3 linked regions of the Neodiprion lecontei genome follow. The protein of the gene in region 2 purifies or fractionates together with the protein of the main gene of each other region. This does not show direct contact. Links are inferred from orthologs where the notes say so. Each region holds a gene or a part of one and is shown on either strand. Other genes may lie near its edges.

Region 1 (11,840 bases), on a different chromosome or scaffold from region 2:
GGATTCCCAGTTGCAATGGTGAGTATAATATTCAAAGTTTTCAGCTTATTATTGAGACTAAAAATTTAAATTAACGTCATTTCCTCCTCAAGAATTTTTCTTGCTGTATACCAAATAGTTAACGTTTAATCCGAGCTTGCCATGATCAGTATATGGATAGTGTTATATGTACAACTGGCCATGTGAGCTGTTTGCTAAAAGAGTATAGAGCAGCAGTTACTGGTATGAATTAGATAAATAATTTTCATGTGATGAGATTACTTTTTGCACATGTCTTGCCACAATACATGAAGTACCAAGTTGAACTTATAGGCTTTTGTTTCATTTCATGTATTTCTTCAGTTTGTCGGTGTGACTTTCTGGGCACTCATGTTCGTGGACCGTGAGCTGGTACTACCAGCTGCTGTAGATCCTTATTTTCCTTGGTGGTTAAATCATCTGATGCACACTCTAATCATGGTCACTACTGTTCTTGAAATGATTGTCGCTCCCCGTCAGTATCCTAAACGATTATCTGGTCTTGGAGGCCTACTTATATTTATGGCTTCCTACTTAGTGTGGTACGTCACAGCATAAATAATTGCATTATTTAGAGGAAAAGAGTTTTATGATGTTTTAATGATGAATTATTTCTGCAGGTTGCTTATTATTTATGCAAAGAGCGAAATCTGGGTATATCCTGTCATGGAGGTGCTGTCGTGGCCACAGCGGGTTGGTTTTTTCGTTGTACTTTTCCTATTTACTGCAATTCTGTACATCTTGGGAGAGTACTTGGATCGGCTCATCTGGGGTAACGCTCTATCTCATCCCTGCAAATCTCATTTCAAGTAGCCTTCACAGGAAATGTCAGGAAACTATGCATACTCTTCAATGGCGGTGATTACACATTTGTGCTTTGAATGCACGTCTGCATGTTTAGGAACACGTTCAAAGTTGTCTAAGTTTTGATTTCAAAACTAGTACATTTTATCGATGAACATCTAATCTATGCGTTTTTGTGTTGGAAAATTGAAATTTAATTTTGCAATTCGATAAGTGCGTGTAAAGTGGTCCGAATTTACATGACCAAGGTTTGACCCTAACGCCCGCCGAATTGGTCGCCGATTTATTTCCTACTCCTACTCCACCAAATGCATATTTTCAAGGGGATGTATATTTGATGGAGTAGAAGTAACCTCACTGAAAGTCAGGTCAGGTCCAACGTCACTAACATTTTACAAAACGACTAAATCAGTTCATTTTCAGTTATCAATATATGTTTTAAACATGTATTAATCTTTTACGTTTAAATTAAATTTTGAAGAACCAAATTTATATAAGTGAATTGAATAACTTTGAATAACCTTTTCAAGTTTACTGAACCCATTGTACTTGATTGTATACTTCCAGACTTTTCCTTGGGCTGCTTGATCTAAAATGGTCGTTTTATTGCATTCAAATGAATGTTCCCGTTGCTAATATTAACATTTGTGAAAAAATAACATTTTCCCATACTCTAACTTCTCTCTACTTACAAAACTTCAGTAATTGCAATCTGATATTTTTCAGGACGGGCTAAGAAATCTGTAGGTAAGAGTGCCAAGAAGAAGAAATCAAAATGAAGGGTCAATCTGTTGGTATTATATAGTTTCATTGCTATTACCAATGCATAAATTGTTATATATTTTTGTTTAATTTTTGATCCATATCATTAAAAGATTTTTCATTGTCCTTTCCGCATTTTTCGTAACAGTGCATTTGTTATTACTGTAACATGTCATCACGTTTACGCCGTGATGTAAAATTCAGCATATAAGAATCGTTGATAATTGTTATCTAAGCAATAACGATAAATATAGTTATTATATAGGACAGTTATTGCAGCAATCAGATCTGATCATGAAGCAATTTGTTACATTTTGTAAAAATAAATGGAGATTGTTAAATTGATGAATGAGCTATTTCATAGTACGTCGAGTTTTGTTTGATTGTGAGATCTAGTAAGAATTGTAGTACTTCGTTTACTTACTCGAAAAGGAACAAGAACGTTGTTGCCTTAAAGTATTTTAATGTTTACTAAAATGTGTTCATTAATAATGTTTACATTCATTTCTTGTGCGATAGTGCTTTAATCGTAGTACGGCTTACTTATCTGTGGTTTTACTGTAAATTACTATCCATAGAAAGTGAAAATGTACGTATTTTTTAGCTTCAAGCAATATGATTTCAGATGCATCAAAATATTGCATTGTACAATAGGAACTGTATTCATCTCGAACATTTTACACTGGCTCATTTTAGATAACACTATACTCGAGCAATTCATTGTTTCGAATTGTGAGACATTGAGTAATATAATACACAATGGGATGGGTGGTTTTTTTGCACTTTATTATTGTAAACGGAAAAAATTGAACATGACATTATGATAGTAGCCATGCTATGTATAATAAAACTTAATACTTAAAAAAGCTGATATACTGATTACCTGTACAAGAATTGGAGTCAATCTATAACACAATTATCTATCGAAAACAATATTGATCTCGGATACTTGTTCCGAACAAAGTACGATCAATATTGCTCCAACAAGTTGGAACGTTATGCACTCAGTCAGTCTTGATTTGAGAATAAAAAAAATGTTAAATATGTAAAAAGAATTTGTTTGCCTCCATATTTTGCCAACTTCTGGCATGCATCTTAAATCATACCTTAATTAAATGTCAACAAGATTATGTAAAATGGCGTACGTGGATGCTCGTAATAGATAGCTTACATGAAAGTTGAAAAAAGTAAATTAAGGGCACATCATGATACTATAAATTATAACGAAATATAAGAAGTGTTGAGTACGTACAATTAAATCATCTGATTTCAGATGAATAAATTGTGACGGTTAGTTGTATAATGTTCAGTAATCATGCTTATTGAGTATCACAATTATTTGCTTTACAAAGTTGGTCAATTTCTCGAAATACATTTCCCGACATTGAACAGAGTTAAAATATACTTATTACTTAGCTGGATTTATTTTTTATCCTAATATAATGTTATTACGTTAAAAGAGTTACGTTAAAAGAAGTATAGATCTCAACAGTACTCGGCTTTACCTGAAACATAGCTTAGATTTGTTGAACACGCAAGTACGTATGTTGACTCCACACTACCTGACACTAAACCGGCTTAAAACACATTTCAATTTTCATGTATGACTAAACAACTCTACCTGATGTCAGAAGATTTACGATTAGCTGTTTTGTTGAGTTGTGGGGAAATCTGTGTCCCTTTAGAGCTACAATTTCTACTGTTAATTATTTCATCAATACTTTGCTTTAATTCCTCCATCTCTAAAATATCAAGAGGGAGAGAAGTTTGTGTAGCCATCTCTCTGGCATTGGATTGAATGTTTGCATCATCACTTTGACGCTTTGTTAACTTCGTTTTCGAATCGTCAGATTGTATGAGTCGAGAGAGCTCCGGACAGAAAGATGTCAAACTCGATACCAGGTCACCTTTTCTGTACATATCTTTGAGCTCTACTTCCATGTCTTTTACTTTCAGTTCTTTACGTCGACCACTACTGTCATGAATATAGCTCTTTGTACTATTGTTACTTGACTTACTTTTACTTCGCTCGGGAGGTTCTTCAACAGATATCATTTTCGTATTTTCTTCAGCATGGCTATCTTCGCTCTCACTGTCCTGCTCTTCTTTATCCACATTGCAGGCTTCCACATCGATGTCTTTACGTGGATTAATACGCGAACCTTTCTCTTCACTGCTCAAGTTTTCGTCACTCTCACTTTGTCCTGGGAATAAAAACGGCAATATCATGCCTGCGTTTTTACCATCTAGCATTTTTGAATTTATGGCTTGCCCATCCAGGCCAGCACTGGCAGATCTTCTTTTCATGTTTGGCATTTGTAAGGGCGGAATGTTGGGATTCCCTCCAATAGTCAAAGCTGAAAGAATCTGGGCTCCCAGTTCGCTCTCCTGTGATGTTGTACTACCTCTTCGAAAAAGTGGTTTAACTTTTCCAGATCTTGTCTTGTTGAAATCGCGCCTCCTACGTTTTCCTCGCCTGCTACGAGAATTACCAGGTAACGTAGTGGAAGCTACTTTTCTAGTTGTCTTAAGTTCTGCTATTTGTACAGAGATTTGGGAATCCAATGAATTTCTTCGGGACTCTACAGACACACGACGAACGCTAAAACTAATTTCTGAGTCAACGGAATTCCGTCGGTTGCTCGATACAGATCCTGTTGTTACACCAACTAAAGCACCCCTTCTTGTCACCAGCTTTGGTAATGCAGCTGCCCACGTTGAACTGAAGTCTTGAGAGGCTACTGAATTTAGTTCAAAATTTAGACCAACTGGATCTTCATGTGTGTTGTGGAAGCTTATAGATAATCGTCCAGCATTTTTAAATGTATTTCTCTTTTCATAGGCTTGAGCAATTGCTTTGTACTTTTTTGGTATAATTTGTTCTTCTGCCTCACAGTTGAAAGTTCTGTAATGATGAACAGATTCGAAGTAAGTAAATCAATATTCTTACGTAATCTGTGAAAGTGCATACTGGTGAAGAATTCTCAAGAACTCTTGTCATTCATTCGAAATGAATTTACTTTATCAACCTTCAACATAAAACTTAGTATTTGCACAATATCAATTTACTTATAGCTGCCATGTCTTGGGGAATTTGTTCTCACCGTCTAAGAAATCTTTTCCAGGTATCCACAGTTGATCCCGTCCAAACCCAAGAAGACATTAAAACACCAGCAAAGAATGGCGATAATAAATGTAATTGAAGCTTGGCCGCGCTGGGTCTTGATGTCATTTTACATTCTGATACTCCTGCAGTATATTTCGTTGTAATAGTGCAGCTAAGCATAAAATTGGTATTCATTTAAAAAATTATACATTTACTATTGTCCAGTATTTTGTAGCAATATAGTGATAGTGGTCATACAAAAGTACTCTTTAAAAACAATTATTAACAAAAAATTCACAATAATTATGCATAACCAAACGCTTACATCATATAATCTCGGAAGCTTTGTTTCCATTCCCACGAGTGTTGGAATTCATGGATGTGACAATAAAATGTTACTATTACTGCCACAAAGGTAAATATCGAAAATAATCCCAATCTCACAATTGTTTCTCGAATTTTGGAGCTAGCTCGCTTAGATATTACTTCCTGACTGCTTATCTTCAGATGAATTAACGTTATCAATCCTGAAACAGGAGAAACTTTTGAGAAACTGATTTTTCGAATCAATTAGAAAATTAGTTTATCCAAGTTGTAGAATCATCAATTGACAGATATACGAATCTTGCAACATACTTACTCTTTGAGTACGAGTGGAAGAAAGCATAAAAATAGAATGGTATAATTAGATTATGAATTACTGCATTGTACTGAAAACAAAATCAGTTCAAAATAATATACCTCTTGATAAGAAATATCCTCCAACAAGTAGTACAATGCAAATAGGTCCCAATAAAAACCACGCTCTCACAGCGTGATTTGCATAGCCCACAAAACATATTCCAGTAACACTGTTTCCATCTATTTCTCCCAGAGCCATAATTGTGACTGTCAATACTAGCGGAAGACACCAAGCGATGAGATGAAAATAAGCTCCTTTTTTATCAATTCTGTCCTGGATCTTTCCAAGAGCTTGAAAACTCATATGCCATGCGTACGTAAAGATAACAAACCAAACCATAGCTGCCATCAGAAAATAGTAAACGAGAACAAATACCACCACGCAGGATAAGTTCTCACCGCTGCAAAACAGATATTCGTTGTGTGATTAATTTGATTAAAATTTCTGAATCAAGTTTGCTTCATTTGCAAAATGATTTCAATATTGGTACATAAAAATAAAATTACAATCTACTCGTGACACAAATAAAGATATCAAAATGGCTTGAAGGCGATTTTTATTACAGTAGACTTTACTTAATAAGTATTCTAGTCAGACACTCAGTTTATCATTTGTAGAACCAAATCAATGATGTGATGTGACATACACATGTATCCTATCAATTTAAAGTACTTGATTAGTTATTCAGTATAGCCTAGCAAGGAAACTGTTTCTGAACGTAAGCAATACGTGATTTCCAAGGAGAAAAACTACATGTATTTGTTACCAAGTAATATTAGTGTAGTATATTCCCTGACACGCACTCACTTAGGTATACAAACACAAAGTATTATGAGTTTATTGTTCATATAAGGAATAAGTGGTTATAAATAAGCGCAATTATTCGCATTGCTATAGTAAAATACTGATTCAGTAGGGCATTATTTATGCATCTAGCGTACTTAAGGCCCGTTGAAAAATCAGTAAGAAACAATGTAATTAATCTTATTCTTTGCAGAAGCTCATTTTCAACTTAAATTTATATGTACCTTGGTTCACTCATTCTTAAAGTGCCATCTTTTCGGCAAACAATAACATCTCTGCTACCAGGACCGAACTGTGCCAGCCACCCTACACACGATACCATGAAACAGCTGTTGATGTAGAATATTACTAAAGCTGGGTATTTGTTAGCACTCCTCCAGTCAATCAAAAATGTGACCTAAACATAACGAACAACTTCTGATGAATTTTCATTGATCGAAAGTCACAATTCATAACTAAAGCTTGATATATACTTATAGTTCAATGCAACTATTCAAGGGGCCAAGTTCATTATCGCAATCTACTAACTTACCACGGTAAACAAATTGAACAGTAGGCAGGTTGCAGCAGCCCATGCGACAAAGGAATGGATTTGACGCTGTTCGTCCGGTGTGAAAAGTGGATCGCTGCACTGAGTGCCGCACCCTTCAATACCGTCGAAAATTGATAGTGAATTGTCTGTGTGTATAAGTGGCTTCAGGCATTTACCGGAAGTGTTGAATTTCAAGTCTCTGACATCGTTTTTACACATTTTTGGAAAAAGTTCTGCATTTTCACATCTGATGAAACTTGGCCAGATTGTGTGATTAAACAATAAACGGCATGGGCCAGAGACCATTTTGCACTTCTCTTGCGAAGGCAAATCTACAATGCCATTGATGCATTTTGGCATAAAGATTGAACACAAAAATGGTTGAACTACTGCCCAGCATTTTGGAATGTGCATAAGACCACGGAATTGGTTCAAGTTCTCCTGTGAAGATGAATTCAAAATACATAGATCCAATTAGTTAATTTGAAACCAGTTAAACGTACACAGTGAAATACATAGAGTAACAGTTAATAGAATTCAGAGTATTTTAAAGTCTTGAAATAAATCACCTATGATTCGGTTTTAAAAAAATTACATCATATAATAGAAGTAAATTGAATCTCAAGATTACCATCAATACCAAAGCTATTCTTAGCACTAATAGAACTGTTTTTCAAGTATTGCTCCCGAACAGAATCACAATAACCCGTTATAATTGGAACAGATTTTTGACAGATCAGGTACTGAGTTCAGGAGGTATTCAGTATAAATTTTCCAAAATGCATGCTTCCTTATCATTAATATACATATGTACAATAATAACCTGTATACTTCCTTCTAAGGTAGAATCAGGGATGAGGTCTAACGTAGTAGTTGAATACGTCAATCTAGTACCCATGCACAAAGTATTGTTGCTGATATCAATACACTTTGCCGCTTTTCTACAATTTGCAGACTCTGCACTTGTATATCCATCCATCAAGAAACTCTGGTCTTCATGTCTGAGCCCTGACCTTCCAATCTCTATTCCATTCCAGGTTTCATTATTACCATTGGCAACAGACAAAAAGTTCCGGCTTAGTTCTGATCCAACTCCATAGAATACGGCCATTATCAAAAAGGCAAGCTGGAGCATCTAATTACAGAGAATGCTACACTTGTAGTCTTGTTTTTAATGCACGTATACAATATACATATATTCTTTCCTAGAAAGCAAGTTCAAGTAAAATAGACTAAACTGAGACTATCATCTTGCGTTATTTTATTGATAGTAAAATAAATCTCATAATCAGTAGCCAGTTTCTCAGGTCTATCTGGAAAAACCAATCTTTTTACTACAAGCTGATCTTGTACCTATTGACGAGATGTTGCTGTATATTCATTTCAATAATGATTTTTCAAAGATATAAGTACCAATAATTCATGTGTGCAAGTTTGAGTACTATGTTGACGATGATGTTTACAATTAAAACGCATGGATGCTTATCAGGATGCCAGGTTCTGACCATTCTAATTTAACATTTACCATTAAAAACATGATCAGAATCTGACAACCCAAATATGTGTATACACGCGAAGGAGAAATAATATTGTTATAATAAATAATATTTTTATGGAAAATTGGACTTACTGCACACAATGCACACCACTTTATCCTCAAATACCATTAATTATAAAGCTCCAAGAGAAAGTAAAAATTTTTAATTACTTAAAAATAACCGGGATGTGTAATTAACGATCACGTACCTTGATATCGAATACTCCTTGACCAAGGTAAGTAATTATCAGCCAATCTTTCCACGACAACCTCTGACATTTGTCCGATTTGTCATCAGAGCGTCGCCGAGAAGCGTCTTTTCAGACAAAGCGATCCGCATGCAATCGTGCCCGCAACGCATTCTATAGCTGACGACGCCGGGCGGCGGGTAGTCGGGTATGCCGGACGAAGGACCACACGCACGTTGCTCCCTGCCCCCGCGACCACCCCCCGATCCGGGTACCTCGGGACCACCCACGACGTCAAGATCCTCCATTCAGTCGGCGATAAGTTGCTACCAGGAAGGAAGAGGGGAGGAGACCTAACTCTTTCCCATGGAGACTACACAATGAGCAAGAACTCAAGTAGGTGAATTGACTAAACTTATCACAGTAATCGTTTACATTAGGTTTATTTTTTGTACCGAAGTGTCATTGGTTGCAGGGATGCTCAAGCCGACTGATCGATGATCTTGCAATGTAATTCGTAGAAAGTTTCCACTACCACCCCATACCCCCTGCACTGCCTTCGGTGCATACGGAACACCAGTGTCATCTTAATTCAGGCTGCTACTTGATTACATGGAGTTCGTGCTCCTTGTGTAGTTTCCATACTCTTTCCGAAGGCAAAGCTGGGACACATCTAAACGTCTTCAGTTCATCGTAACGCATCCAAAACCGAGCCCTTGCCGTGCCCGTGAGTCGTCAGCGTCAGCGCATAAGTCTTTTACCGACATCTTGCGATAAGTTACGGAAACATCACTCTGTAAAACACCACGGAGCTAGGATTGGTTATCTCATGCACCATTTCTACGCCATGCCAGTAGCAGCCCAGTGCAGACGGCATCGCACACCTGTCAAAGCAGACGAAGTCGTGAATTTAGTCCACTGATATCAAAGAGAAGGAGGGATTGGAGAACTGTCAGATCCGATTTTTCTAATGGTTCCACTGACGTTGAATTTAGCCTTGAAGATCTGACTCATGAATGGTGAATTTGTGTTACAGGTGAGTAAGCAAAAGTTTTAAAGTTTTTAGCAACGGCTGTTAGACCGATTCTCGTCAGAGAGGGCTGAGGAAGTGCGATAAGACCCGTATGCAGATTATTTACATACTGATAAAAACTTCCCGTTAAACGTACGTGAAACACATCTGGGGATTAAAGAAATAAGAGACATTATGTTAATTACCTGCAGGCTATTCTAATGTACTGATATTAGAATAATCCATAATGTGCCATATGCTGGTGATACTAACCTAACTTCGTATTGTACAAACGGCAGACGTCAAGTGTGTTATCGAAAGCGGCTTTACCAAATATTTTTAATACTTTGCATTCCACTTTTGCGACTCTATATTCTTTATATTCACCAGCTTATTTCTCTGTTGCGACAATGTACCGGCGGTAAGTGTCTGATAAAAGATATACCTCTTTTTTTAACTTTACACTTATGTAGTGTTTTTCTTTGGTTATACTCAAATCACACTGAATGCAGCTTGATTATCACATGAATAAATCCGTAATATGCTAGTAACACTTTGCTCATGACATAGTGTGTGCAGTAAATAGACATTGAAAATTTTGAAGTAAACATAATCTGGAAAATTGAATTTTTATCTCTCGAACGTCAACCACTCATGTGTCAATACAGAGTGTTCATTTCTCACATATTCCTACATTCATGCAATACGAAATTATTAAAATAAAACTCAAGATGACGTAATTATACTAATAACAATAACCAATAACCCAATTTGAAGAAATCTATCCTCTTTTTTTTTCCAATTTCGCAGCTATTGAACAATGAAATCCCTAATCCACACACTGTCTCTTCTCCTGTGCCTGCAAATCACGACAAGCCAATTTTCTAAGTTTTCTAAATTTTCCAAGTTTTCACTTGGGAATTGGCAACGAATGTGTCCCGATATGTATCCATACGAATACAAAGGCTTTGCTCCAATGGGAAACTACAGTGCAGGAACGTTTACGGAGATGAGTTCATTTACAAGTATCGTCCATTGCGTGACTGAATGTTGCCATGATCTGACTTGCAACGTTATTTTGATGCACAATAATACTTGCTATCATGTATCATGTAGAAGCAATAAACTCTGTGCTCCGCTATATCGGCCTGACAAAGCTGATAGCTATATTCCACCAACTATGGTATTAATCAGACCTGTAGAAGGAGATGGCCCATGGGCAAATTGGGTCGAAGATAACGAGGATACCAGGTACGTACAATTTAGTTCGCATTTAATTTTTTTACATAATATTTCGCAGATACGACTAAATGTAATACAACTATAAATTTCATTCAGTGCTTTGCTGATGGCTGCTGCAGATCAAAATGATTATACATATAGATCCGACATTAACACCGAGTGTTCATTTGATTTGCAAGAATGTGGAGAGAATGAGGTTTGTGTAACTGGTGACAAGTCTAAAAATGGATTCTGTCAGTGTATTGATAATTACAAGAGAACATTGCAAGGTAATTATTCAAAAACCATGTTAAAATTTAACCTACTTCGTAACACCATAAATTGTAACCACATTTTTTCTAATTTTAAAGGAATTTGCAAACCAACGGATGAGCTCAATGGTCTCAGGCAGGCAGTTACCTCAGATGTCACACAGGAGTCAAGCACATCGGTGAAACCTCCATTAAAAAAACTATCAGTATCAGCTGTATCTAAGGAAGTTCAACTCCCAGAAAATGAGGCCACATTAACAGCATATACCTACCCGGCGGAACAAGGGAATGAGCATTATAATTATGTTTGGAGTTTATTAAGTCAACCAGAAGGACCACCTGGAACTATAATGGATCAAAATCGTGTCACAGTAAAGCTTAGTCATCTTTCCGAGGGCTTATATATGTTCAAAGTCGTTGTTAGCAGTCCTAATGCCTATGGAGAAGCATATGCAAATGTCAGCGTTCTACCACGTAAGTATCATAATGCTACCTTTTGCATTGATTTACCTGGCATGTCATTGATAATTTGACGAATAATCCAACTGAGTACATGATCTTGACGTGTTTTCTAATGAAACTACTGTAATGTCAAATTGCAGTATGTAGGTTTATACATTTTACTGATCAACTAATATGTATTCTCTGACTGAGTTATCAATCTTCTGCATTTGTAGCCAAACGAGTAAATCAGGCACCAATTGCTGTAATATCACCGGAATCCCAAGTAGTGAAGTTACCTAATACGGGAGCTGTGTTAGATGGATCGGCAAGTACGGACGACGACAAAGTGATTTCACATCACTGGGAGTTGCAGAAGGGTCCAATTGGTTATCAACCAGAACTTTTAGATACCCCTACACTTCAGTTGAACAATCTGATTGCAGGAAACTATACTTTCA
Region 2 (9,621 bases):
CAACTACGCGAAGTGACAATCGTAGTACGTACGTGTTACCACGCGAGATTGGCGAACACGCGCTGTAAGAATACTTTATTTGTACGATTACGAGTTGATGAATATAAGAGGAAGAAGAAAAAAAAAAAAAAGAGAGAGAGAGACGGAAAAAAAAGAAGAAGAAAAAATCACAAACGCGCACGCGCGTGTACGACGACATATTAAATAAATAAAATCAAACGAAGGATTGTTAAAAATATTTCTTACTCACTCTCTATCTCTTACTTTAGTTTCTCTTAAGAAATACGTGACAGTTTTTTTTTTTTTTTCCTTTTGTCGCAAAAACTACCAGCTGCCGAGATCGGGTCGCACGCGTTTCTTTCTGTGTTGTTGTTGTTTTTTTTTCTTGTCTAGTTTTTTTTTTTTGTTTTTTTTTTCCTTTCAACAAATTTCACTTTATTTCTAAAAACACATCGAGATTACTAACATTATAATACTATGGCAAAATAATAATAAACATAGTATTAATAATAATAATAATAATAATAATAATAATAATAATAATAAACGTAAAGCGTTTTAAAAGTTCTGTTTTCATCAGATAGAACAAGAATAATAATAATAACAGCAATAATAATAATAATAATATTAATAAGATGTATCATGTATCGGTATTATATAAGTGTAATAAATATTTAAATCCATACAAATTCATATGTGATATTATTTACTATATATGATATATAATATAATGTAATACGGATTCATAAGCAGCGCAATTGTTAACCCTCGGAAAAATCTCACGTCTTTTTCTTTTCTCTTATGTAATGATAATTAATTTTTTCATCGCTTCTCCCTCTTTTTCTCTATCTCTATCTCCATCTCTATCTCCATCTCTATCTCTTTCTCTCTCTCTCTCTCTCTCTCTCTCTCTCTTTCTCTCTCTCTCTCATTCTTCACCTTGTTTGTCGCAGAGATACATCGAAGATAAAAGTACGTACTATAATAATAATAAACCACATCGTGCATGTAGCGTTTAATAATAAAATACACGTTACACGCGAAGCGAAATTTTTCGACGTTGACAAACGGCGAAAAAATTCGTATTCTATTACAATTTTTCCATTTCGCGTTTTCTACTAATTTCATTATCGAAATTCGCGACAAAGTCCCGTCACCCCGGACACCGCGATAAATTGTTTAGAAAAAAAAAAAAAAAAACACAAGTCAAAGACGACGACGACGCCGTGACACAATTAACGGTAAACATTCCAACTTCGTTCTACGTTTTTGTTTGTTTGTTTCTTTCTTTTTTTTTCTTTTCTATTTATTTGCTTATTACTTTTTGTCTAAAAATTTTACGCCGCAGAAAACTCGCTCCAATTTCATAATAAAATTTACAAACTATCATAAATAATTTTCATAACAAGACGAATGAAGAAACACAACGTTGTAAAACAATGCAAAAATTTCTGGTGAAGGGGGGGGGTTAGCGGTAGATTATCAGTACACGACACGTCGGCAGGTGTCGTTGATTTGGCAGGCGGAGAGAAAGAACCGGGTCATTGCGGAATATTCCAATGGAAATTTCAAAGGTCCCTGGGATGCGTACGTAAGAGCGACGCCGACGACGTTACGCGCTCTTCTGCAATATAACGCCACCACCGCGTACGAAAACCGCTTTTACTATTAATGTCCCCCTGGGCTAGAAACACGAGAGCCCTGAGATCTCCGAGACGACTGGTTATAATAACGCCGTTTGAATATTCATAAACATTTTGCATACGTAGAACGAACTAGTTCGAATCCAACGTACTCTGCACAAGTGACGAACCTCGCTTCATTCGCTGTTCGCGAATTTACATTAACGCGAGAAAAAAAAAAAAAAGAAAACCGCGTCAGCGTTTCGGAGGACGTTCGTGTTAAAAGTACGGGGATTGCGTTGATGCGTCCGTCTGTAAAAATCTCACTTTCAAGGAAGCTGCTTGATATTTACTAGATGGTAGAAAAAACGAGGCTGAAGTTAGTAACGTTAACGTATCGAGAAGTTGAAACTAAGAAAAAAAAAAAAAAAAAAATCACTATTTCCCACCGTTAGGAAAACGACATTTTTTTTCTATAAGATGCACCGTTACAACAACGTAACAAACTTATTCCAAAAATAAGTCAAATTATGATCATGTTCGAGATGTCCTGAAATTTGCGCGCATTGTACTGATTCAAAAATGCAACGTTAATGTTAGACTACGTACGATACGTTTTGAAAACCATAAGAGCAGCTCCGCTGACTTACATGTCCCGAGGAACGAGTAACGGTAAATTCACTTAACATTTCACTGAGCGATCAACACACTTGTAACGATCGACGAATAACGATGAATACGAGAAAAGCGATGACAACGAAACCTCGACGATTCGCGTTCAAAATTCAATATCGTACTCTTTTTTTCATCAACGTTAGTTTCTCATACTCCGACTTGATGTGCGATTTCGATCCGACAACGAATATTGATTCAACCATCGGCTCAACGAATCCCTACAAGATTTTAAGATAATCAGAATTATTGTCACTGCAAAGTATACTTTATCCACACTTTTTCATCACTCCATGAAATATTTGCAAAACACGGATTCAAACGAGAACCGAATTCATGATCACAGTGTTATAATTTCGATATAAATATAACTGTGTCACGAGTATAGTTAGCTAACTTTTCGGTCAATGCGACCCCCCCCCCCGTAGACAAGGATAATAATAATAATGATAATCACCGACGCAGAGCAAGTCGTTTGGAATTCGCAATTCACAATCGGAGAATCATTGTTTTTTTTTTCACATGCGTAAAGAATATGTACATACGTATATAAAAATTATTACAACAATAATAAAAAGATGCGAATGAACAAAACGAAACGACAAAAAAAAAAAAGACGTTCGACGCTAAAAATACATAATAAGAATTGAGGGTGTTTCAACGCCGTCGTCGACGCGTTTACATCGGATAAAGATCTCCCTGCGGTGTGATAATAAAAGTTGACGACAAACACACGAGGAGAGAAAGAGAGAGAGGATGAAGGAAGAGGAGAAGAATGACGACTACGACTACGACAATGATGATGATGATGATGATGATGGTGATGGTGATGAAGATGATTATTATCATTCCTCGCCCGCAGCGACAACGCCGCTGAGAGAGTATAATAATATAGAAATGACCGTAAAAACTCATATAAGGATGTTTACTCGTATTAGCAGAGTGCCGCGTAGCAATACCGTTTATAGGCTAGAATGGCTAGATGAATCGAGACAGTTCGACACGATCTGTCCTATCATTTCTCATTACCTCCTCCGTAATCTCTACCGACCACCGCGAACATTCTCTTCGACTTACACGTGACAACATATTAGACTGACTTTAAAATTATAGGTACGCGTGTTTCGATTATCCCTTTTTTATCTCTCTTTCTCTCTTTCTCTTTCTCTCTCTCTTTCCCCTTTCGAAACTCTCTTAAAACATTTTTCTTAATTTACACTATATAACGGAAGGACAGACAGATCATCATGTTTGTTGAGATTATGTATCTCCAATTCGTTCATCCACACACACACACACTCTCTCTCTCTCTCTTTCTATAACACGCCCTAAAACAGAAAATAGAATCCTGTGTTTCTCTCTATGTATCTGCATTTCTACACACGTTCACACGGACACACACAAAAATTATATCTTGGATCGTTCATCCCGCGACGTTGCTGAACGTTTTTTTATTTATTTATTTTTTTTTCTGTTTCTTCTCCCTTTCTTTTTCTTTCTCCTATTTTTCCAGTACTCTTCACTATTCTTCGTCTTCTTCTTCTCCTTCTTCTCTGTCTTCTTCAACTTTTTCTCCCTCTTCTTCTTCTTCTTCTTCTTTTGATTCTTCTTCTTCTCTCAATCGAGGACAAATTATAAGGATTACACGTGATACCGAACGAGACGACGCGTCACACGGAACACGTATATTGCAGACACGGGGTATACGGATTATACGCGCGTATATGATATAATCCTGCATCGGTATTAGGACATGGTACGGCGTTCGAAACTTAGCACCGGTACCAGGTTTTTTTTTTTTTGTTATTCATTTTTATTAATTTTTTCCTTTCTCCCGTCATCCTCAATTTGAACCCCCGTAGCCGTGTAGCCGTAGCTGAAGGACGCGTTTCACGTTGCGTCCAGAAAAGTCATCATCGTCGTCATCATCGTCATGATCGTCGGCGACGACTGTTCGATTGTATACCGAACGCGACAACGCGATCCGTTGTTGCTGTTCTTGTTCTTGTTGTTGTTGTTCTTGTTGTTGTTGTTGTTGTTTATGTTGATCTTGATATTGTTCTTGTTGTGGTTGTTTTTGTTTTTGTAGTAATTGTTGTTGTCGTCGATCCAGTTGTTGTCGATCGCGCGATATGTTGCGACGACGTAACAGCCACGACCGGATGATCGTAAATTGGTTCAGATTAGCTTCGTCGCCTCAAAACTCGGCGAATTCCTTGGCGCATTTCTCCGTCGAGGAAATCCTGAGCGCCTCCTCCTCGTAGTCGTCGAAATTGCTCGTGTCACCGGGTCCCTTGCACCTCGGTATGAACGGTGCCTCGATCCTCTTTTGAAAAACAGCGATCCAATCGGTGCTCGAGAACCACTTGTGACCCTTGATGTCGTTCACCCCTGCCTTCAGGTTGCCGTACCGTTTCGTAAGGTCGACCTGAAGCAGGTTCCTCAGAAGGTCCTTAAGGTCGCTACCGAAGTGCGACGGGAACCTGACCTTGCCGCTGACTATCTTCTCGTATATCTGTATCGGCTGGTCGGCGAAGAATGGGGGATAACCGGCGGCCATTTCGTACACCAGGACACCCAGTGCCCACCAGTCTACCGCCTTGTTGTAACCCTTGCTGAGTATGATCTCCGGTGCCAGGTACTCCGGCGTTCCGCAGAGGGTCCACGTCCTGCCCTTGACCCTCTTGGCGAAGCCAAAGTCGGTGACCTTGAGGTAACCCTGGGAATCGATGAGGAGATTCTCGGGCTTAAGGTCCCTGTATATAAGGTCCAGGTAGTGAAGGTATTCGAAGGCGAGTACGATCTGGGCGGCGTAAAACCGCGAATGGGGTTCGGAGAACCTGCCGACCTTGCGTAGGTGACTGAACATCTCGCCGCCGGGTACGTACTCCAGTACCATGTAAAGGTTCGAGTTGTCCTTGAAGTGGAAGCGCAACGAGACCAGGAACGGGAAGCTGATAGCCTGCAGAATCCGTTTCTCGTTCAGGGTGTGCTCGACCTGCTTCAGCTTCACGACCTTCTGCTTGTCCAGTATCTTCATCGCGTAGTACTCCTTGGTGGGTTTATGCTGTACGATCATTACCCGTCCGAACGACCCGGTCCCGAGTGTTTTTATCCGTTCGAAATCATCGAGCCCGGCCGTGTTCGTTGGATTCTTCTTCCATTTCTCCTCGAAGTCCTCCTTCGCCTGATCGAGGAACTCCTTGACACTCTCGGCGGCGTCCACCTTCTTGTTTGCCGTTGCGGCGTTGTTACCCATCTTCGAAGAGCCGCCCGAGCCAGCCAGGGCTCCACGTATGTCGAATTTTTTCAAAATTTTGCAAGCTTTTATGAATCCGGTAAGACGGTTAATTTATCAAGCCAAACAACTGAGGCTTGATGTATCAACGCTGGGCTCCCGAATACTCGCGCTATCGCAACTTAACCGAGTAGGAACACCTCCCGGATCAATGTCTCTCTTTCTCTGTCTCTCTCTCTCACTCTACCGGCCCAGGCCCTTCCTTCGCCTCTGACGATAATGTTCTGACTCGATTCTTATCCCTTATCCGGACTTATTTTTATCCACGGTGTAATCTACTTAAATTTATTTGTATGTTTTCTTTTTTCTAAATTTGTTTATTTGTTTTGTCCTTCGATTCGCGTCTCTCTTTACTTTTTCTATTACTTAATCTGTCTTTCGTTTTTTCCTCGCACTTAATTAACACCCCACTGTTCACACCACCATCGATGCTCGATTTACGAAATGGGTCAACACTCCTCGTCCGTGGCTCGCGCCATCTTTCACCCCGCCGTCACCTTTCCACCACCACCACCGGCACCTCCAACGGAACCAGCACTACTGCTGCTGCCACTACCACCACTACTGCTGCCGCTGCTACTGCTGCTGCAGACAACTGCTACAACTACCACCACCACCACCACCACCACCACCACCACCACCCACCACCACCACCACCACCACCACCACCTCCACCACTACTGGTCACCACCCACCACAACTACCGCTGCAGGGGCGACGGTGAGTGAGGAACGTTTATTGAACAAAACACTGTTCCTGACTCGATGATCCTCCTCGGTGGCGTTGCGCAGTGTCACAGTAACAACTTTTCGATAACCAATATTTATTTTCTCCGACTCTCGGTCTGTACTTTATCCTCATATGTATATATCACAACAAGTTTTTCAGTGTCACCAATTGTTCGTCGCGTGCATCATTCGGTGTGTTCTCGCAAGCTTTTGGTATAATCGAGTCGTCGACACTTGTTCAGTATATATATATTTTTCCCACCGAAAATTGGTCGACTGTTTAGCGTACTTCTTCGCTCTTTCGTTACTCACGTCGTGCAGATATCGGCACAAGAGCGTACAACGTTCCGCTATAATCCACTACTGCCGGAGAACTTCGGACTAAAGGTCGTGTCGTTCGGTGTGTACAAAAGATGAAAGAGGCGAAACTCTGTCCGTATACACGCGTAGCTGTGTAAGTTTGTGTGTTAGAGAGGGAAAGAGAGACGGAGTGAACAAGTTGTGTTTCGACTAGTCGAGGCGGGGAAGAAGGGGGGGGGGAGAGAGAGAGAGAGAGAGAGAGAGAGAGAGAGAGAGAAAGAGCAAGAGAGAGCGACAGACAGAAATAATATTTCGGTGTACAGTTGTTCTTTTTATCCGTCGTCGAACCAACTCCGCTTCTCTCTAACTTTAGTCAGTATATTTCTCTCTCGTCTCACGATCCGGACGCCACAGCAGTAGTAAGTAGCATTTACGACCGTCGGTCCGTTCACTCGCGACGAGTGCCGATCGTCAACGCGAAACAGAGTACAGCACGAATATTACTCAGTCTCTTCGTATTATTCCTCTCGGTTACACCCGTTACATTTATCCCTCTCCTTTCAATCCGTTCGAATTATATTCAATAGATATGCATGTGCATGCATGTTGTATGTCGTGTGTATGTAGAATAAAATATATATCCGTCGAAACAGCGCACGAAGAATCCCTCCCCCCCCTTTTCCCTCCTTAGGAGAGTTATCAAAATCGTTCCCCTCCTCTCTTCTTTTCTCCTCTACGATATCTTCTCGCCGGTTTTGTACCCTCTGTTTTGTGTTGAGGGATTTTTATTTATTTATTTTATTTATTTATTTTTTTTTTTACTTCTTTCTTATTATTGTTATTATCCCCCTTATTTAAGATGGCGTCCGTCTCCGTATACGTGCGGCGGTTACGCGAAAGTCCGCCGATAATATTCCATCCTTTCACGGGGATTTTGCACGAACGCGAAAATGGTGGATTTAGAGGAGACGGAGGAGGAGGAGGAGGTCGAGAGAGAGCGGGCGAGCTGGTCCGCGCTGCTCCGTGTAAACCCGTATAGACCGTGAACACAAACTAGAGAAATACGGTTGTCGCGTTACGTCGTCCTCGTCGCCGACGCCGCCGCTCTCGCCGTCCTTGTCATTGCCGCCACCGCCGCCTCAGGGATGTCCGGAGGTTCACCGAACGACGTTGAGAATTCTAATCACCTCCGTCGTCCGCTAGATGGCGGGTCGAAACCCGGCGTCAGCGGGCCGGAGTGATCGGCTGGTGCCGCCACCTGCCGACGGCGTCGGTGAACCAAATCTCCCCTCCCGGCGCTATTTCCATCACGAGACCGGCGCGGACGGTGACTTTCCTTGCTTTACTTGTTATCATTATTTCCCCCCGCGACCTCCCTCTCCGCGCTCCTCGCTCCGATCTTTTTGTCTTCCTCCTTCCTCTTTTTTCTCACCGTTTACACCTGCCGCCGTCACAGTGTATGGATAAAAAGAGGTAGAGAAGTGTTTCGGGTATGTATATGTATGTATGTGTGTGTGTGTGTGTGTTGTGTGGTTGCTGGTGTGTGCAATATGCCCGAGAAACTGGTCGCGCGATCGGACGGTGTGTGATGATAACAATGATAATAACGACGATGATAAAAGCATAATCAAGAAAACCAAGATAAATTGGATAGATAATTTGAGAAAGAGAAAGAGCGGTGGACAGCGAAATATTGTGAGAAAGATTAACCTCCCTCGGTATCTTGTTAGTTACGTGAAATAATATTCGAAAAAAAAAAAATATATATATACATATATATATGTTGTATAATATGTATGAAACTTTGCACGTAACAACATGAAACATGCAATCCAAAAACTTTCACTACTTACAAGCTCTTTGCACGCTTAGTAACAATGAGATTAGGTATTATTCCTTATTTGTAATACATGTTGTAACGTTATACCAAATGAGGGAGAAAATAGAACTTATCGCGGGTTTTCCCGGCGAAATGCTCGGCATAAATTCATATCTGTAACGAATTAATTGTAAGGAAAGTAAAGAGTTAAATTTACGAGGCTGAAGTTATTAATGTAACGTTTAGTAACGGAACGTTAGGGAGAAAAAATCATTAAAGTGCAATTTCCGAATGACTTAGAAGGTGTCAACTTTTTGAAATATGTGCGTATGTTTTGTTTATCGTTGTTTACTAGATTTCAGATAATCCTAAATGTGCGAAGTAACGCGAGTTTTCCCAAACATTGCATAGTTACTGTAACGTTACTAACTTCATCCTCTTAAAAAATTTTAGTACAAGTCATCGCTGCGAAGAAAAATCTACTCGATTCATACCGCATATCTTAAACCCTGATTCGTATTTTCATGTTTACTATTTAGTTGAACTTCTGACTTGGTTTTCAATCAACGAAACGTCTGCAATGCATTTGTACATCGTTATTACATGTACAGATAATGTTATTCAAGACTTTCACTTTCAAAATAACCCACATGTATTCCTATATTATACCATCCTGTTTTTCATATCGTAAATTATCGTCTATTTTTAGGCAGGTCCAACAACGTTTTATTTACAAAACAACAACACGAACGTGATGTGTAACATCACGGTGGAAATTTTCAATTCTAAACATACCACCGCCAACTTGTTCATTTTTTTTTTCCTTCCAAATATACAATATAATTCCTTCGTAACGTATACCGTGTCGCGTATCCTTTCTTAAATTTACGGCAAATGAAATAAGAAAAATAAAACATGCACACGCACACACACACACACGCGCAAGTAGGTATATGCTTCATCTTTCATCTTCCGAATCATAAAACATAAATAAACTTCCGTTAAATATCTATCGTCCATCTCCAGCTGCGGTTGTGCCACAACCGTATCTAAATTTGACCCGCATTTGAGAATATTGAATTCATCAAATTTGCAATCATCGTTAAACTTACGCGCCATCGCTTTATCTCTGCGCCCTTGTTCGATCCCACTGCGCGAAACTTTCCCTGCGGATACAAAAAT
Region 3 (10,854 bases), on a different chromosome or scaffold from region 2:
CGTTGCTTCAGCAGCTTCATCTGTTTATCACATAAAGGTATAATCATTATAATCAGGGTCCTGGGAACTGAGCAGAAAAAGGATTCATCACAATAGGACTGTACCAGACATGGTTTGCCTCAATGGTCACGGCCCAATGGGCTCCAAAGAGTTTATGGAATATGTCGTGTCTCCATACACTCTGCAAAGCAGAGGACAGAGTTAATATTCGACGCCGCGGTAAGAACCAAACTGCACGAGATCAAGCAGCTCCGCACCGCATTTGCTAAGAATCCAGCGCATTTCTGCACGAATTAATAGCAATGACGTCGGCCAAAAATATTTAGATTGGAGTAATGTTCCATACTGTGAAGGGAAAAATTACCTGAGTGTGGGCGATGATGCGCACAACCTTGCAGTACTTCACAATCTTCTTAAGATCCTTCTCGATTGATTTGCGACCAAGATCATCCTGCCACTTCTTTGATGCCTTGGTGAACGCCTTCTTCTTGCTCTTATACCTATACAACAGCAACGAGGTTCCTAAACATATTGTACGGAGCCAGTCTCATCATAGCGAGAGGAGACTGGACACCTTCTCGGAACAACCCCATGCATAATGAGGATTACGCCAGGCGGCTGATTCCGAATATTACTCTCATCTTTCGAGTGGAGAGCTGGGGTAGAGCAAGTAGAGTATAATGCACGTCTAATCACAGAAGCTAAAACTACATACTGCACTAGTAAAAAGAACAGTGTTGACTTGATGTTTTCTTTTTGCATTACTTTGATATATCAAGCTATCTAAGGATCTGGTAATTCAAAATGTTCAGTCTACAATCAATCGCATACCAATTCTTGTAGAAGCGGCGACGGCATTCTTCTGAGAGATGCTCTGCCCAAACAGTAGTCAGAGCCCTAAGACCATGAGGAGTTTCGATGTATCCAACAACACCAACAACAATCATTGGTGGAGTTTCCAAAATAGTCACAGCCTCGACAATTTCCTTCTTGTTGACCTCTGTTAAAAGCAAATAAACATGTCGTTGCAGGATTAGAGCGTGAGGGCTATGAATTTGCTCCATGATTAGGGAAGGGTGAAAATAGGGTAATCGACTCACTTGATCCCGGACGGTCAGCTTCTCGGACAACATGGGTCATGCCAGCCTTATAGCCTATAAAAGCAGTAAGGTGAACGGGCTTGGTAGGGTCATCCTTGGGGAAGGCCTTTACTTTTCCACGATGCCGTTGAGACCTCTTCTTGGGGTAGAACCCCATAGACCCGTGTCGGGGCGCGCTGAATTTTCTATGAGACTGTGGGCAAAGAATGAAAAATACAAGATTAGAAGTTGCAGATGGCCACGTGTGACGGGCGTTTTGTTAGGGGATAAAATTCTCAGACCGCCCTAGAATAATATCATCAGGGTTAATCAGTTTAAACCATAAACATTGAAATCTAAATCATCACTGATAGGAGTAGCATTGCATCGAAAACGCCAAAAACTCTCGACGAGCCAAGGGACGCGACACGAGGTTCGAATTTTCCGAAAAATTTTTACGGCGTTTTGGATTAACGGTAGGAAAAAAATATTGCACTACAATTACAGAGAAACCTGTTCTCAGTAACTCGATGAGTTAATTGGACGCAGGCGATGCAGGATGCCACAGATTTTAACGGATTATTTTATCACCGACAGACATCAACCGTACTCACCATCGCGCTGACTGCGTTGAAAATGGAGGATCGTACGTTGCGGATTTCACTTTTATACCGCAGTGATGACGGCAACTATGGAGAAGCCTCGATATTCGATTTTGGAATTCGAACGTCAAGTCGAAATGGAAGAGACACACCTCTCGATTACTTGACATCGATTCACTGCAGTCGGATCTAAATCTCTCTGTCGTCTGCCTCGCACTTATTTTGAGAACATTGTTTGTTGTAAATAATAATTAAATAATTGTCTAATATGGCAGAGGAACGGAACATTGTCATCGCATTTGCTAACGCGGTATTCAATATTCTTGACGGACCTGTCACCTTTTTCCGAGGTATTATCTAATCACTTCTTTTAGGTTATGATACGAAAATAGCCGATGTTCCGAACGACCGCCCGTGTCTTCTCAAGCATGTATATCTCGATGATAATTCCTTGATTACGAATTTTAGAAAAAATTGTTGTCCCAAATCAGCAACATTATCCTTGGTACCACCAAAAATTTCGCCGTGTTCCAACCATTGATGAGTGTTATATGGATGATCCAGTTTGCTCGTACGAAGCAAACATTCAGTTCAAACGAGACAAGTAATTATACCGAGTTACTGGTCATTCTTTCTGGGTAGCTTCTTCCTATCAATTGTCAAACTTGGCTTTGTTTCTCTCTCATATTTCAGACTGGTTGAAAGCGATATCATAAATATTCTAAGACAACGTTTCGAGGATTGTACTTTATATGAAGGACATGACCAAACGGCCAAATGTCGGCATCTGTGGGATCAGTACAACGAAGCTTCTACGAATTGGTTTATCAAGTGTATGTTGAGTATGGCGCCGACTTATCTTACTTGTTGAATCTTCTGTACTCTGAACATCTAATATCGAAGAATGGTTTCTTCAGATTTTCAGGGATTCTATATCTCCACTGCACGATACTGTACACATAGTAAACATTATTATCATTTTTCCAGATGGTGACCTTGGTGCATACGGTCACACACGAGACGCATTAATGAAACAAAAACATCGCATGATTTGGGAAAGACGATATGGTCCAGTTGGAACTGGAATGAATCGCGAATAAAAACTAAAATGAAAATACATTTTATAGAGTCGCGAAAAATCGATATTGTAGATAATTATACACAATAAATTAATAAAAATGATCATGAAACTTTTCTGATTTTTAAACAATAATGTAATTGCTAATCAACTCAATCTATCGCCAATAATTCCAAGCGAACTGTGAGATGTATCTTGAAGAAATTTATTGAATGTATGTAATACACATAGAGGTGTTTCTCTTCTATCTATAAACCGTTCAAACATCATTCGTAAATTCTGCTTCAGCTATGTGGTTGCCGCGCTTTCTTCCGTATGCAGCTAGAATATACCTATATGTATTTACAAATTTTTCTGAGGTCGTTGCGCTACCGACCACTGGCTCTATTATTCAGCAGTTTTTTTTTAAAACTAGTATTGTATCTCTACGTTCCTACATCATTCCTACATCTCTGATGAAAACAAATTTTTTTTATCAACATCAGGCGCACGCTTAAAACCAAGGACTCTAGGTATAATGCAGTATACAAAATAAAGTCTGAAGAACATCCGCGCCTTATACTGCAGGTGACGGCAATTTGATAAACGTGACTCACGTGATCGAGAATGCGATCTGAAATTAGCTCTGAGTGAAATTTGAATTCAAGGAGAAACCATCAAAAGAACGGCGCACGTACTTCGACTGTTCTTCGACGCTGCGGAATCCAGATCGCATTTTTCGGGGTGGATCAAGAAATCTGCGTTAGTATATTCCTACTAAATTTATAATAGGTAATTATATCACATAAAATAGTTAATTTGGCTTTTCTTTTACTGTCTCATTCTTGCAAGCTCTTGATAAATGTGTGCTTGCATTGTTACTATGATTGTGTATTCTTCGGCCAGTTAATTAGAGCAAGTTTGTTTAGTCGGTTTCGAATGTATAAAATTATCGTTCGTCAAATGTTTCAGTCAACGTTTCAATGTATCTTATATTATGCCTAAAAGCTTTCAGTCATCTTGAGATTGCTCCCGAGTAGAGTTTTCAGTAATGATAACTGTTTTCTGATGAAATAATGCTTCGACAATCATTCATCTGTTGATTGAAATTCGACGACTGAAAAAACCGTTACAATGGAATCCGGACTATGTGGTAATTATGTTTCGATCAATTCGCCGAAATTTTCACGGTCAACGAAGGGCTACCGGCTGTCTGCGTCGAACAAAAAAAAATCCAGCTGAATCAAAAATTAGCAGAGATGGGTTTTTTCTGCCAATTGTATTAATCATTGTTCATTAATTGATTATTGATTATTTGGTGGTCGCTACACCCAATCATATCGCCTCTATAAGACTTCGGCAGAAAACGGCGGCCAAAATGGCGGCGCTCGACCGGAATTGATCAGGGTAATTCTTGGCACGTGAATTGTATGTTGTTTTGAATCGTGTCGGACGTTTGAAACATTGACACGCGCACGTACAAAAGGTTCTCTGGTCTGAGGTTATTCGAATGACGGTAAACTACGTCTCCAATCGTGCGAATTCGACATGGAGAAGTACGAGGTACTCGGTCAGGTCGGCGAAGGATCTTTCGGGCAAGTCTACAAGGCCAAGAAGCGAGCGGACGGTGAAGTTGTCGCTTTTAAGGTTATCAGAAAGGTGAGCGCGTTGTTTCCATTTTCAAATTCTCAGCTCCGATAGGTTTCGACGGTTACACACACGCACACGCACACGCACACACAACAGAGCTTACGCTATAATTAAATTTGTATATGCAGCGCGGTCGTTCGCTTAAAGAGCTCAAGAGTCTGAGACAGGAATGTGAAATACAACGTCACCTCCATCATCCAAACATCATACAAATGTTAGATTCTTTCGAGACTGAAAACGAGGTGAGTTACTCGACTTTCATGCCGTTTTGAGATTTACTCTTCTTTCGGAATTATAACACGCACGTCAATTATCGATCCTCAAACCATCTTATGAATGTATCTTTAGATCGTTGTCATTACGGAATATGCTGACAAAGAGTTATATGAAATATTAGGAAAAGCTGGCCGCTTGTCAGAGGAAAGAGCCCAAGTTATTGCCTGCGATCTTGTCTCCGCACTTTACTACTTACATTCAAATAGAGTGCTTCACAGGTTTGTGGATCAAATTTTTCTCATTTATGGCAGGCGCGACAGAGTCGATCGCATGTTAATTTACCAACTCCCAGAGTTCTTTCTCAGTGTTTTAGAAACAGTTGCTTGACACGAGTTTTGACATATCTTGCGGATTAGTCGCCAATGCATTATTAAATCTAATTATTATTTCAGAGATTTGAAACCCCAAAATGTTTTGCTTGAGGCTAACGGTGTGGCTAAATTGTGTGATTTTGGATTTGCTCGAAGCATGAGCACCGGCACACATGTTCTCACTTCGATAAAAGGGACCCCTCTTTATATGGCTCCAGAGCTAATTGAAGAATGTCCATACGACCACAACGCTGACTTATGGTGCGTATCAAATATCAGTGACATCTGATGCTGTTAAAAATTATTGGGAAATGAACAGAAGTTAGTTTTGTACCTTCAAACTCGGACAATGGATTATATTTTTTTTATTGATGTACAGGTCCCTTGGCTGCATAGTTTACGAGCTAGTGGTTGGAACGCCTCCTTTCCAAACAACTTCCATATTACATTTGGTCAGACTCATAAGATTTGAGGCAGTCAAGTGGCCAGACTATATATCAGAAAACTGCAAAAGCTTTCTGCAGGTGAGCATTTTTTTAATACCTTAAAATTGGGTTACCAAATATTCTTATCTAGTAACTCATTATAATTTCTGGAGGTTTTTGGTCAATACCTATTCAGGGTTTGCTTCAAAAAGATCCCTCGCTGAGGCTCACTTGGCCAGATCTTCTGAATCACCCATTTGTCAAGGACAGGATCCTGATGGTCGGTAGAACTGCTCCAACACCGTTCACAACTCCCCTGTCCGCGAGTCAAGCACGAGCTAAACAACAACAGCTTCAAAGTCTCGCCATGCGTTCCACTAGTCAATCAAAGTATGATTTTTTTACTAAAATTTATACCTATCATAAACAAAGTACTATACGAAAATTTTGCAAGGTTTTCTCAAACTGAGAAATGTCTTTTTATCAATATATTGGATTTCTTCTGTGATATTTCGAGCCATATTGGGCGGAAAAAATTTGTTTAGCTAAAATTTGATGGTTCAAGTTTCACAGTTTCATGATATTTTACAGAGTTCTGGAAAAAGCAGTACAAAAAATTCAAGAACAAGAACGCAAACTAAGGGAACAGCGCCACATGACTTGCGTCTCTCAGCCTCGATACCCAATTACACGTGGATATTGTCAAAACCGGCAATGTCAAATTTTGTGTCGCAGTGAACCTAGTGGATCGGATTCCAGTGCCAGTGTTGACGTGCTGCTTGGGAATCTGAGCCTAAGGGCATCTTTGCGGAGCGATCTGCTTGCCGCAGATCACGCGCTGTGCCAGAATGATTGCCCTAACACTAACGTTAGGCAAGCTTCCATCACGGGGACACTTGAAACTGCGCAACCGATGAAGACGGACGAATTCAGAGGAAAATCTACCTCCCGACGGACGTCTAAGGACAATAATTCACAGGCTCGGGGTGATGGAGCGAGTGTTTGCCACAAAGGTACATCTGCAGTTGAACAACTGCCCGGTGCCGATGGTGATTACAAGCAGAGTCGTTTGAGTTTCGACTATGATCAAGAATTTAGTGAAGATATAGCTAACAAGCAAGTCAGACTTTCTGACTGGGATCCCAGGGCGGTTGAACAACCTATAGAAAATGAGGAGTGGGTGGCTTTTCTACAACGATCAATGGAAGAAGTGATGGATGGAGAGGTCGTGTCGTTGCTGCAGCAAAACTGCGTTTCCGTGTTCGTTTCGCCTCTAAGAAACCCAGCCGCAGGATGCCGGGTCGTCGAATATGTCGCCTGCCTCTTGTCCCTGCCTTTTGTCCTTCCGATGAGTGTGGAACGCCTGAATAAAATAAAACAAGTCTATCTGGACGTCAGGGTTGTCCCAAATCTGGTCTATGCAGTGAAGCTCTTGATGTCGGAACGCCGAGAAGACTCGAGTCCTTCGCCGACCGGCGACACGCGATCAGCTGCCACTTTGTCAGCGGACGAGCTGCAGGCACTTGAATGTGTGATGTTGATGCTGTGCAGACTTGTTTACGTTCAGGAGCAGTTTCTGACGCAGCTTTGCGATGCTATTTACATTGTGAACGGTATGCCTCTTCTTCAGCAGCTCATCACTTTGGAGAAACGGAAGTCCAGGGTCGTTGCCGACCTTGTAGCCATATTCAACAACGTTCTCAGGTGTCAGCCTGAAAACGCCGAGTTGGTGGAAAGAGTCGTCCTTCGCACAAAGACACCCGGTACTTATCCAGCACATAGTTATTTTACCCAACTTTTTTTCCCAATGCGCAACAGTAATCGAATTCTAACTTACAGTCGAACAACTTAGCAAGCTCCTCACGCACAGACAGAGCGTTCTAAGGGCAAGAAGCTGCACGTTGGTCAGATTACTTGGAAGGTTCAGCTGCAGGGCACTACAGCAGGCCTGGGGTAGGCCACTTAGAAATCTACTCGAGAGTCTGACACTAGACAACGAAGAAGTAGTGCGTAACGTGAGTATTATATTTAGAGAAAAATTTATCTAAATTCTCCAGGAATCAATCAATTTCACGTGCAACTGCTCTGTCTGGTTTTCTTTTTCTGTTCGTTCACCGTCAATTGCGTTCTTATAATTCGTTTTTTGTCCAAAATGTACATTAATTTCGATTCCTCATAAAAGATTCTTTATCGAAAAACGATGAAAATTATAAACCTGTTTTGAGAAAAATCAGATGAGAATACATCGATTGCTGATTGGAACCGCTCGTTTGCAGGCCGCTGAAGATGCGGTTAGTGAGTTGAAGCAACTGCTGTATTACAACCAGCAGAGTCCAACCGGTTAACTGCAATACGTTCATCATCATAAGTATCATTAAGACGTTCTGTGTTTCCGTTCCAACCTGTGCGACATGGATCTATTTTCAGTGAGTTTTTAATTTTTTTTTATTTTCTTTTACAGTTATTTTCAATTGCATTTCAAATTCAAGATCAAGGGTGCTTTTCTTCGATTGTTATCGAGCATTAATTACGGCGAAATACTTTAATTGCTGGAAAGGTTTATTTAGCGAAAAAGTACATCATAATAATGTGCTTATTATTTTTTATCCCATCGTTCTCAAAAAAAATAAGTATAATTTGAAGAAGAACATAATTCATGGTTACTGTAGCAATTTCTGCCGACGAAAAGATTAAATAAGCTTTACGCCGATTTTTCATACTTTTCGTATTACCGTAAAATCGTGATAGGAGTAATCTGTATGTGATATGAATTTCACGCATTGATTATATACATAAACACTTACACATAAATTAGCTTTATCATTAGTGAATTTACAGGGTCATTTATTCGTTGCGGAACACCGGGTTCGACTGACGCAGTCGTTCTTCCTGACGCATGCATAATTAGTTCCCTTTCTTACCCGGGTCTTGCGTTCAGCAACGCATAAATGACTCTTTATGATGTATGTATCGAATTTGTTAATTGCGAATTTGATTTAAAAGATATTTATATTTCTTTTTACACAAATCTAAATACAATGCCCTCGGTATTTTACTATCGGTGGAAATTATCGTCTTCCGTTATTCTCGCATGTTTCCTGCTTTCGGTATGAAAGAATCGCCCATCAGAATTACTCTAATTTGAGCTACAGAGCCCACAAGAGTCAGTCGAATAGCCAGCCAAGTATATTTTTCTCTTCGCTAGACTCGCTCGTGCTACCAGATTCGCTTGAACTCTCCGAAGACTCGCGCGCTTTGCATTCCTCTTCGTACATGCGGTCGATTTTCGCGATATCTTTCTTCGTCAATCCCTTGCGCTGGCCAAGCTTTACCTCCTCCTTCTGTAAGGAAAAAATGGGTTTTTAATTTTTGTTCGAATTTGTTCGAAAAAGAGTCTAATTAATATCATCCCTGAGGTGCCTAACCGTAGGCAATTCATAGTTCTTGCAAGCAAACTGTGTGCCTGATCTACCGTCAAGCGCGTAACAATTTCAGTTTCTTACTATTGGTGTGATCGTGGGCTGATTGTTCTTCGAAAAAGCGTGCGAGCTATAGTGCATGATGCTCTTGTAGTCATAGGGGATTCCGAAGTCGGTTACTGTCTTGTTGTCGTATTTCTTGAAGTTGTGCTCCTTGCCTTAATGAAAGAAAACTTTTTTATATCGCAATTTATCATGCCAAGAGGCAAATGAATGGGTATAATCGTCTGAATCATGAGTTACGAAATGAGAAAACAAAAACCGTTGTAAAAATCTTCAGCCATGTTATTTACGACAATGATGGTGGACATGGATTAAACAACATTATATTATGTTATAGAAATGAATCTGATCGAATTCGAATAACACAAGCTAAGATGTCAACAATTTGAGCAGAGGTTTCATAATCAAATAATTCAAGATGAACCTTCGTTTTTAGGCTCGTTTTACCCGCCGATCAAATTTCCACAAATTGTTTGAAAACCAACCAAGAAACCTCAAATTATAGTATAATCGTAACGTGGCAATGTAATTGTTGACAAAGATTTGTTGTACCGTGCTTTCGAAAATCTATTTTCATCTATCGTCGAGGTGATTTTTTGTGAAATTTGTAAATCGCGATATCTGTGGCAGAAAAAATAAGCCCTAAAATATTGAAAACACCAGAGTTAAATGATCACACTTCGACCAATCGAATCGTAAAACCTTTTTTCAAATTGTTTTTATCCCAACTTGAGTGTCCTTAAAATTCGCTGAGATTCATTTCGATTAATGCATAGTACGGATGTCGTTTCGTTCATTCATCATTGGTGTAAATAACACTACTGCGGTGATTGTTTAAACGGTCATCCTCTTTTTAAAAATCTCATTTCGGATCTTGGAGGCGATTAATCTCCGGCGTCAATCGCTCCAAAGGATAACTCTGATCACACCTTCCTGGATATTATCCCAATGTATCTCGACCCAATCGTCCCTGTCCGCGGCGCTCTGCTGATGGTAGAAACCGAGCGCGTGCATCAACTCGTGGACCACGATCCCATGCCTTACGCATTTCGGGTTATTAACATTTAGGACTTGCCCCTGTCCGTGCCGACCGACCATGGACCAGCATCCCGACTCGGTTCCCCTTATCGACACGTAATCCTCGTCGGATTTCTCGTAGGGTCTGAATCGCAGGCAAGTTCTCTCGTGATACTCGGTCAGCGCTCCCTTGATCACCTCGATGCCCTCCTTATCTACGATTTTGTATAATTAAGAAACTGCGCAATTATCATTATACAGGTGTACCGTAATATAAGCCTTTCACCGAAATCCTCCTCGTGGATGTGGTAGGGAATCTCGCCACGCGGCCACCGCGCCTCGGCTTCCAGGAGTCCGTTTTTCGCGATGTCCCGTCCCTCGGGATGGACCATGATGTCACCCTCGAAGAGACCGCTCAGTTCCCAAAGATTCTGCGTGTCATCCGGCTTCCAAGCGTCCATTTTGCGACCTTTTTTCCCATAGAATAAAGAACATGTGACAACAACAAACCCTTATATAACGCGAACATGTTTTACGCATTTTTCCGTGAATATTTTCCGTGCAGAAAGTACTCGTTTCTAATCGTCGGAATGAGTCTGCGAATGCACATGCGCGGAGTACTGAAAAGACCACTTTTAAGTCCTCGGAGTGTTGAAAGTGGTAATTTCTGTACTGCGCGCACGCGCTGTCGTGAACAAATCTGACATTACGCTATTCTAACCTCAATTTCGTGTTTCGCTTCAAAAACGCGTAACATACTCTTGGTACATAAAAAATCGTGTGCAACAAGGAGACAACTGCCATTTCGCCTCGCGTGTTTGCAATATTCTTCTTTGATTTCAGCCACGACTCATTTTGCAAACTTACGCTCGTCCCGAAAAACTGACTTTGCCTCCTAGTTACACAATATGTATACTATTCCCTTGAAGGAGAGCTACGTTGCGCCGGCAGATAG

The links. Proteins that work in one complex are often made in the same cells at the same time.
Region 1: the proteins of cAMP-dependent protein kinase catalytic subunit 1 (region 2) and protein smoothened purify together in Drosophila melanogaster (affinity purification with western blotting; 4 studies listed by BioGRID). This does not show direct contact. The link is inferred for Neodiprion lecontei from reciprocal best matches to the Drosophila melanogaster genes Pka-C1 and smo.
Region 3: the proteins of cAMP-dependent protein kinase catalytic subunit 1 (region 2) and serine/threonine-protein kinase fused purify together in Drosophila melanogaster (affinity purification with western blotting; 3 studies listed by BioGRID, with this or other methods). This does not show direct contact. The link is inferred for Neodiprion lecontei from reciprocal best matches to the Drosophila melanogaster genes Pka-C1 and fu.

What each region holds. Positions count from the first base shown.
Region 1 is NC_060260.1:28,860,370-28,872,209, forward strand, and holds protein smoothened, read right to left. Parts: upstream 8,593-11,840; 5' UTR 8,455-8,592; intron 7,844-8,454; coding exon 7,532-7,843; intron 7,150-7,531; coding exon 6,709-7,149; intron 6,574-6,708; coding exon 6,401-6,573; intron 5,773-6,400; coding exon 5,432-5,772; intron 5,218-5,431; coding exon 5,016-5,217; intron 4,863-5,015; coding exon 4,689-4,862; intron 4,490-4,688; coding exon 3,202-4,489; 3' UTR 1,712-3,201; downstream 1-1,711. Other genes in the region: androgen-induced gene 1 protein, read left to right, coding at 1-18, 343-560, 639-790, 1,549-1,601; dyslexia-associated protein KIAA0319, read left to right, coding at 10,266-10,696, 10,784-10,956, 11,038-11,412, 11,616-11,840. UniProt on the Drosophila melanogaster protein: Segment polarity protein required for correct patterning of every segment. G protein-coupled receptor which associates with the patched protein (ptc) to transduce the hedgehog (hh) signal through the activation of an inhibitory G-protein.
Region 2 is NC_060264.1:27,451,884-27,461,504, reverse strand, and holds the start of cAMP-dependent protein kinase catalytic subunit 1, read right to left. Parts: upstream 6,206-9,621; 5' UTR 5,554-6,205; coding exon 4,492-5,553; 3' UTR 1-4,491. UniProt on the Drosophila melanogaster protein: Serine/threonine-protein kinase involved in memory formation. Promotes long-term memory by phosphorylating meng and by regulating CrebB protein stability and activity.
Region 3 is NC_060263.1:2,683,038-2,693,891, forward strand, and holds serine/threonine-protein kinase fused, read left to right. Parts: upstream 1-3,321; 5' UTR 3,322-3,530; intron 3,531-3,839; exon of another isoform or gene 3,840-4,091; 5' UTR 4,092-4,286; coding exon 4,287-4,397; intron 4,398-4,516; coding exon 4,517-4,630; intron 4,631-4,736; coding exon 4,737-4,882; intron 4,883-5,056; coding exon 5,057-5,236; intron 5,237-5,354; coding exon 5,355-5,499; intron 5,500-5,596; coding exon 5,597-5,790; intron 5,791-5,991; coding exon 5,992-7,163; intron 7,164-7,239; coding exon 7,240-7,415; intron 7,416-7,634; coding exon 7,635-7,745; 3' UTR 7,746-7,762; downstream 7,763-10,854. Other genes in the region: 60S ribosomal protein L3, read right to left, coding at 1-20, 365-500, 832-1,000, 1,101-1,293, 1,694-1,696; NADH dehydrogenase [ubiquinone] 1 beta subcomplex subunit 10, read left to right, coding at 1,950-2,031, 2,150-2,285, 2,375-2,514, 2,669-2,781; zinc metalloproteinase nas-14, read right to left, coding at 8,565-8,741, 8,904-9,037, 9,812-10,114, 10,186-10,368. UniProt on the Drosophila melanogaster protein: Probable serine/threonine-protein kinase; maternally required for correct patterning in the posterior part of each embryonic metamere. May be involved in control of cell division during metamorphosis and ovarian development. May interact with costal-2.